Coturnix japonica: one gene and its partner. The protein of the gene in region 1 interacts with the protein of each later gene in a biochemical or structural test. Links are inferred from orthologs where the notes say so. Each region holds a gene or a part of one and is shown on either strand. Other genes may lie near its edges. The genes, in order: AKAP1 and MYCBP.

What was found.
Region 2: the proteins of AKAP1 (region 1) and MYCBP form a complex in vitro, tested with the Homo sapiens proteins (2 studies listed by BioGRID). The link is inferred for Coturnix japonica from reciprocal best matches to the Homo sapiens genes AKAP1 and MYCBP.

What each region holds. Positions count from the first base shown.
Region 1 is NC_029534.1:7,714,877-7,718,620, forward strand, and holds part of AKAP1 (A-kinase anchor protein 1, mitochondrial), read right to left. Parts: intron 3,555-3,744; coding exon 3,427-3,554; intron 2,674-3,426; coding exon 2,496-2,673; intron 2,146-2,495; coding exon 1,995-2,145; intron 1,370-1,994; coding exon 1,302-1,369; intron 1-1,301.
Region 2 is NC_029538.1:2,899,119-2,903,588, forward strand, and holds MYCBP (C-Myc-binding protein), read left to right. Parts: upstream 1-1,670; 5' UTR 1,671-1,764; coding exon 1,765-1,779; intron 1,780-1,912; coding exon 1,913-1,985; intron 1,986-3,190; coding exon 3,191-3,239; intron 3,240-3,324; coding exon 3,325-3,454; intron 3,455-3,977; coding exon 3,978-4,022; 3' UTR 4,023-4,080; downstream 4,081-4,470. Other genes in the region: GJA9 (gap junction alpha-9 protein), read left to right, coding at 1-710. UniProt on the Homo sapiens protein: May control the transcriptional activity of MYC. Stimulates the activation of E box-dependent transcription by MYC.

The DNA of each region.
Region 1 (3,744 bases):
GCATTTGCTGAAACCAGTCTATTAAGCAGGAGATCACAAGTATTATGCCTGCTGTGTTGCTGAAGGGAGAGGATGAACTGCTTTTCAAAGCCACTAGCTAACTTCACGTGAACATGAGTGGTTGAGGAATGAGGAAGCTTTAAAGACAGAAGTGTTCTTTTGCAGTACCTCTGCCATTAATATTTTGATCCTAAATGAAGTAAGCTCAGGAGCCTCAGGCCTTTCCTGACCCTGCAGCGTGCAATACTATAAAAAGAAGCTCTGAAACGTTTCTCCCACAGACTGGCTGCACTTGAATGGTGCCAAACACACTCTGCAAGCACTGGCAGCCCAAATCTCACAACCTGCACAGCTTATAGGGGTACTGCTGCTAACTGCACACACACGATGCAGCAGGAAACTCTCATGTCCCAGCCAATACAATTAAAATCCACTCCGTGAAGATGAGACAGGACATGGCTTCATTTTGGAAGAAAGTCATTCATTTCCTATCTATGGGTTACAAAATAGTTTCCTCTTTGTGTTCCCCACCTTGGGATGATCACCAGAAACAAAGGAATTCCCTGCACCTCCAGAATACCAAAGGAGGAAGATTTTCTCAGGGCATGTGCAAACCCCTCACATCTGCGAGCAGCAGCATAAACCCTGCCACCCATCTACAGCCTTGGCAGAACCTGCACAGGAGTCCTGCCAGCCACAAGTTCCAGAGATTAAAACCCTGCCCAATGTTGTACCCCTTCTGCACCCAGGGGGGCAGGATTTTAGACACCAGTACGGGAAACACTGCTAGCAAAGCCAGAGCCTGCCACCAGGGGGTGGGGAGAAACAACTGAAAACACAGCAAGCATTTCTAGGCAGCAACTGACATCAGGGCGCTTGGAGGCAGCCTTCTCAAGGCATAACGTGCACATCAGTCTTTTCAGCAGGAAAATATCTGGTATTTGTCTAGCAGACTGAAAACCAAGTTTGCATTTACAGTTACACTATGTCTGAATGCAGCAGAATCTTTACAGCTGCTTCAGCTACAACCTGCCAGTCCTGACACGCTGCTGTTCAGGAGAGTAATTCATTCTCACCCCTATACAGGAAAAAGCCTGGATATTTATTATCTTCCTCTTGAGTAAGACAGACTGTGTCATTCTAGCAGATCCAGAAGAATAAAATACAATTTTTCCAATCCCTAATCCACTTCAGAGGTTGCAATAGGAGGGATAAAGTTTAGACAATCAATTCTGGCACACAGCTGGTGCGCATTTAAACCCACAGGAGGAACACCAACAGTAGCTAAAGAGCTCCATTACCTGGAAGTGGCACCACATTGTCTAGTAAAACTTCTGCTCCTTGGAAAGGTAGTGTTACAAAATCAGACCTTAAGAAGAGAATCAGATCAAAATAAGAACATGGCTTCAAATTACTTCTGTATTCTTTAAAGTGACATTGCTTAATCAACTGCTCTAATAGGAACTCAGTTTATAAATGATAATGGAAAAAAACAACCAACCAAAAAACAAACTATTCCATCAACAACCTAACTAGAAGCAATAAACTGCCTGCTCAACAGGACAAGTCAGTTTGAGCTCCAAGCAAATATCAGCTCTACAACAGAGCCTATGCTTCTTACCTGCAAGCCATTGTCACTCTTTCTAAAACAATTAAGTATTTAACAGGCTTGTATGCAGCTCTCCCAGCCAATGGGGATGGAGAACACAGAAGCTGAATTTTAGTCCTACCTCATCTATTAATGGTACATTTGGGACTCTAGAAGGCATCCGTTTGGTAAGTTTCCAAGCTGAAGTGGCAGAAGTTGCGTGGCTTTTTTGAATGGAAGTGGAGACAAATTGCAAGGGTTTACCACGCACCCAAGAATTCCACAGCCCCACTGCTGGGACAAACCATTTAACCATCTCCCACTTCAGTATTTCAAACTATATGGATGCATTTTATGCCTACTGAAGCCAGATATTGCCTCAGGCTGTGGAAAAGAAACTACAGACCTGATTTGTCTGAGCGTGTCAATCTTTACTCTCTCGTATCCTCCATAGTCAACGTATCTGATCTCCACTTCACCGCTGTCTTTGAAGTAGCCAACAACTTGTGCCCGCCACCATGCCCCATCAAGGCCTGGAGCAGCACAGATGATACCAACTGCAAAGAACAAAATACAGAGAAGCTCAGCATTAATCGATTTCTAGAAAACAGCACTTCACACCTTACTGGTACTACGCAGTTATTTACTAAGAGTCAACAGCATTTCTTACATTGCTTTTATTTTCTTTCACACCTCTCACATTCCCAGGTGAGAGGGCCAGCAGGTGAGACCAGCAATATGCATTCTGCCACTAAATCTCAGCCACTATGATGCTGTTCTATGCAAATATCCACTTCTTTTTCAGCCTCTGGTCACTAGCAGCCAGATCTGCTGTCTCCAACAAGGAAAGCAAGTGCTAATTACTCTTTCCCTGTTATGCACTTCACATTAAGTCCAAGTCACTTACCTTCCACAGGTGTTGGCAGGGTTGGAATTCCAGGCTGAGAATAGCAGACATACATCTGCTGGTCCAGGCTACGCAAGACATGGAAGGTGGGGTGCGTATGCTGCTGTAGAAACATGTGTCCAGCATTGACTTGGTTAGCCACAACCACTTCTACAGTGACTCCATCTGGGAGCATCAACTACCACAGGAAGGAAAGAAATACTCATCAGCTTTTCCTGTCACATAAGCTTCAGTTGCATTTAGAAACACTGTTTAATTCCTTGTTCCACGAGCAACTCCTAAAGCTAACAGCCACTGGTGGGAGAAAACCAGCATTCCAGTAGCTGGCTTCCAAAGGCTGCTATGGATCAGAACCAGAAAGATATCCAGCATTACTCTACACTAAAGGAAATCAGATCTGAAGACAGGCCCATCTTGTGCACAAAGACTATCAGCACAGAGCAGCTGTAGGACTACACAAAAGATCAGAGAGAGTCAGCCATAATCGTAGGTCAAGTCATGCTGCACTATCAATGCTGTTCAACTCCCAAGGAAGCCTCGCCCACAGGATTTTCAATATCAAGGCAACCTCTACAGGGGCTAAGATTTGTCACTGAGGTAGTTTCAAAAGTTAGTGTGCCCTGCCTACCAGAGAGCTGCTGTGCTGGGCAACTTCCCAGAACACAAAGCATTACTCTGCTCAAAATACATCAAAAGTGCCTTTAACTTTATTAAATTCAGTCCTCCTGAACAAAGCTTGTCTTCACATCCATGGAGACAGTTATGTGCACAGTTACTGTACAGATTCTAGATGCCCAATGCAAGCAGCGTTTCTAAGCATCTTGCAGCAAGAGCAGCAAAAACAATTATTCAATGAAACACTAATGTGTAAGCATTCTCCAAATGCAATTAGGTACCATAATGCCACCAGAGCCAGCAAACCAGGGCTTACCCAGGAAGTTATAGGGAGGGAATGAAGTGCCAGCGATGGTGGAGGTGGAGCATAGACGTTGGTGAGACTCAGCTCTTTGAACTTCTTGCCAATAAGGCTCAGTGCTTTTTCCACATGATGCTGGGAACCTGGAAGACACAAGTCCAGCACAGAGTCTGTTGCACAGATATTCTAAGGACATACATGTAGCTGTATTGATTCATGTAGGATACAAAAAACTTCCTAGGCTACATCAACAATTTCTAGAACATTAAGACTGGCCATTAAATCTGATGCTAGGGCCAACATGAGCAATGAAGGTTGCCAGGCCATCACTTC
Region 2 (4,470 bases), on another chromosome or scaffold:
CTCCTCCAAAAACTCTCCCTTCTGTACTTGGTGGTTATGCCTTTTTAATGGAGAAGCAAACAGACACTGCCATCTACCCAGCCTTAAACTCTGCTCCCATCTTCCAGCCCATTCAAAACAACCACGCAGAAAACAGAGGCAATTACACCCAGCACAACCAGGAAAACAAACTGCCCAAGAAAAGGCCAGCTACGAATGCTTTAGCTGGTCAGACTCCGAATGCCAGCACAGAGTGCAGGGAAGGTTTGCTGGGCAGACCTGCGACTGAAAGGAGGAACTCGCAGAAAGAAGCTGATCAGAAACACCTCCTTGCTGGTACTCAGAATGCAGATACAGCTTCGAGAAGCTTTGCTGAGATGCTGTCGCAGCCTCCCCTGCAGCCTTTTCCTGTTGCCAGCCTCAGAAGACAGCACGGAATCATCTCCTCCTGGAACTGCTGCACAGCAGCTGAGAGTGTTGGATCCTCCACAAACTCCCTTACAAAGAGCAGCAGCAGGAGACGGAGCAGCCTCAGTGCAAGCCAACTGCCCCCCAAAGCTGACACCCGGCACCCCAGCCGCCCCAACACCCCTGATTCAGCAGGGGAGGCCAGCACTGGCTCCAAGCAGAGCAGGGGCTGTGGCAGCCCCCAACCACTGCCCTTATCAGGGCGGCTGTCGCTGTCAAGCAGTGCAAGCAGCCGGAGAGCCCCCACCGACCTGCAGATATAGCATGGCTGCCCAAGCACTGTGCTTGGGTAACTGCTGGGCTTTGTGATAAGAGCAGCCCAGGAGCAGCTTCCTCATTCAGCTTTAACCAGTTCTTCCGCAGAGGTTAAGATAGAAGCTCAGCCCTTTGCTTTTAGCTCAGTAACTTCTTGCTTCGCTGGCGATGGAGGGATGGCTTCAACCTCTGTGCCAATCTTCTGCATTAACCTTCCAGCTAAGGAGAACATATACATCATATACACCATATACATAATATACACCATATACATAATATACACCATACACAACATATACATCATATACACCATATACATCATTTACATCATATATACATCATATACAACATATACATCATATACATCATTTACACCATATACATCATATACATCATATAAATCCACATACAAAGCCACACAGGAGGAGAAGCTGGGATTACAATAGCTGGTAATATGTAAGCAATAAACATAAAAGAACAAATTACAGTCTCAGAATCTATTGTATGGAGACCAGTAAATGAAATGAGGTGGAAGATCCATTCACTGCAGGTGTTTCTCCAGCAGCTGCTGTTTGTGTTCTCAGTGTGTGTGCGTTCAGCTCTGTGTAGATGTAGGGTTGGACATTTTGGATATATTTAGGTGCTATTATGCTCATTTAACCCCATGCTGTGTATGTGAATACCCCATTTGCATTTGACACCTCTATAGCAAAAAACGTGTTGACTTCACAGCTTAAAGAGCAAAGAGACAGCACTGAGGGGCTCGTATGTAGCAGCTCAAGAGTCTGGAAGGTTAGAAAGGAACCCAAAGGGCAGATATAGGGCTCTGAATGGGTTCTTATTGCCAGCCATATAGACCAACATATCTATATAGATACAGGTATAGATACAGGGCCAGGCCGAAGCCTGCAAGCACCGCGCATGCGCAAACCTCCCACAACCGGAAGGCCTAGTCGCAGAGATAGAGACCGGGACTTCCGGTTGGGTCGCCATGCCAACGGTAGGAAGCCGGGGCCGCCATATAAGAGGCGGGCGGTGGCGGTGCGGGCGTTGCGGGGTTAGATGGCGCACCACAAGGTAGGGGCTGCGGGCCCGAGAGGGTGGAGGGGCCTTCCTTATAACCCCCCAAACCCTTGGTGGTGGGGAGGGGTCGAGCTGTGTGTAGGTAGGGATGTGCCGGTGCTCTGACAGTGTGGGCGTCCTCCTTCAGGCCGCGGATTCGAAGAGGGAGCAGTTTCGGCGCTACCTGGAGAAGTCGGGGGTGTTGGATACGCTCACTAAGGGTAAGGAGGATTGAAGGCCTGTATGGGTTGGGTTGGGGCCGAGCAATGGGAATGTGCTGTGCCAGCCCCCTAATACTGGGGTTTAATGGAGGTGTCTGTGCTTATCTGGATAGGAAAGAAAAGCACGTTGAAAGCTCAACGTATTTATCTCTTTCTTATGGCTCACTGTGCTTTAAATGATTGCTAAGGGGTATGATTTAGTGTAGGGTTGTTTTAGGGTTCTGGTTAGGCTGTGGTTGGGCTTGATGATCTTTGAGGTCTTTTCCAATCTGCATAATTCTATGATCCCTTTGTGCTCTCAAGATCCTTTCAACATGGTGTTATATTCCTACTTAATAAAGCACGTTGCTTATGGGGTGTAGCAGCTGTGAGGGGTGTGCTCTGTGCTCAGCCCAGGTGTGTTGGAGCCCTTTGATTTCCTCTGGCTGTGGCTGTGCTGTTGCAATGTGGAAGCAAAACAAATCTTCCAAGCCCTGCAGCAAGCAAGTTTGGCTTCTAACTTTAAGTGTTTAGCTTAAAACTGTGCAGTTTGTGTGGCTGAAAATGGGAGGGAGGCGCTTAAGCTCCTTGAGAAGCATTTATCAAAGCAGAATGGTGGGGTGTGTGTGTGTTATGTCATTCATTTTGTGCTCCATAATCACAGAATGACCCGGGTTGGAAGGGACCTCAAGGATCATGTAGTTCCAACCCCCCTGCCTGGCAGGGCCACCAAACATACACCTTTACTAGATCAGGTTGCCCAGGAGACCCCATAGAGACCCCATAGATCAGGTTGCCCATGGCCCCGTCCAACCTGGCCTTGAACACCTCCAAGGACGGGGCATCCACAACCTCCCTGTGCAGCCTGTTCCAGGGCCTAACCACTCTCCTAGTGAAGAACTTCCCCCTAACATCCAACCTAAATCTTCCCTCTTTTAACTTAAAACCATTTCCCCGTGTCCTGATATTGTCAGCCCTATCGTCCCCTGTGGGTCAAAGAAATCCCTTCTGCCCACCCATTGAAGTATAGGATGCTCTGTTTCACCTTGTGCATGACTAAGATACTATGATGATGATCTCTGTCCTTAACATGAAGGATATAGGTGAGAATCTTGAACATGCTGTGAGCTTGGTGTGCAACTTGTATTTATTCTGTCTGCTGTATGTGTTTTGGAAACTAGAGTTGCATGGATGTCTTATAATGGTTGTTCGTCTTGTATTTGCAGTGTTAGTGGCCTTATATGAAGAGCCAGAGAAACCAAGCAGCGCACTGGAGTATCCTTTCTGTCCTCTATGGGTTGGTTCTTGCTGTTATAAGCAGCCTGTTGAGCTGAGGAAATACTTAACATCACAATATCAGCTTTTTGAAGCATCACCTGGGAGCTTCAGCTCCTGAGAGTCCAGAAATGGAGGCGCTTCGTATGGAACTGGTAGAGCTGAAGGAGAAATACGAAGCTGTGCTGGAAGAGAATGAGAAACTGAAATCCAAAGTAAAAGTCTATTTAGTGTTCAAGTCTTTTTAGTATTCCTAAGTACTTCTGTGTTTGATAAGGGTGCTTTGGCACTTATAATACAGCTAACTTTCACTGCCATAACTGATTATGATGTTATAGGGTTTGGCCTTGGGAATATTATCTCATTCCTTGCCTATATGTAGCTTCTGATGGAAGACTTGTATTCTGAAATGCAGTTTTTGCTAACAAAATAAGTAAATTAAGGGATAGTGGGAAACTCCATCTCATCATTCAGTCCCATTTGTTATCTGATAATGTGTATATGGTTCCATAAGAGCTTTGTAAAGCAGGGCTGGGGGGAAGCTAATGCTTTTCTATTCAGGCATTCCAAAGCAGGAGGGGAAATAGTGTTAGTTATTGAGGCCTGGCATGGGTCTGTGGCTGGGTTTTACCACAGGAGGTCACCCTTTACCCCTATGGAACATTAACATCCAACTCTGCTGCTCCTGTGTCTTTTAAGATGCCCCATCTAACTGATTGCCTCTCTTTAAATCCACAGCTGGCTCAATATGAACCACCTGAAGAAGAGAAGCGTGATGAATAACAGTAGTTTCTCCTTTCGTACCTTGGCTTTATTAATAAAGGGCTTATTGTGAACCGCACTCCTGCTTCTTCTATGTGAGTGCTGTGTGTCTCTGTGGGTATCTCAACTATAAGGACAAGCAGGGGGTGTGCAGCTCTATTTGTGGTCAGTCATTTTACTTCCGTGTGTGTAGGAAGGAGCTGAAAGAGGAAATAACACAGTGTAAGAGTTTCAAAGGCAAAACAACCCCCAACTCTATTGCAGGAGGTAAATTAGAGTGTATAGCATGTGTGTGCAGGCTGAGAAGGGGCTGATCTATGTATATATGGGGCTCCATATATCGGCTCGGCCCCATGTCCCCACCCTCGCCGTCATATGACCGGAGCGTCTCCCAGCACCTCCTCCATCGGCTGCGAGAAGCTTCGTTGTCAACCAATAGGGTCCTAAATGGGTGGGACTTTGCGTTGCA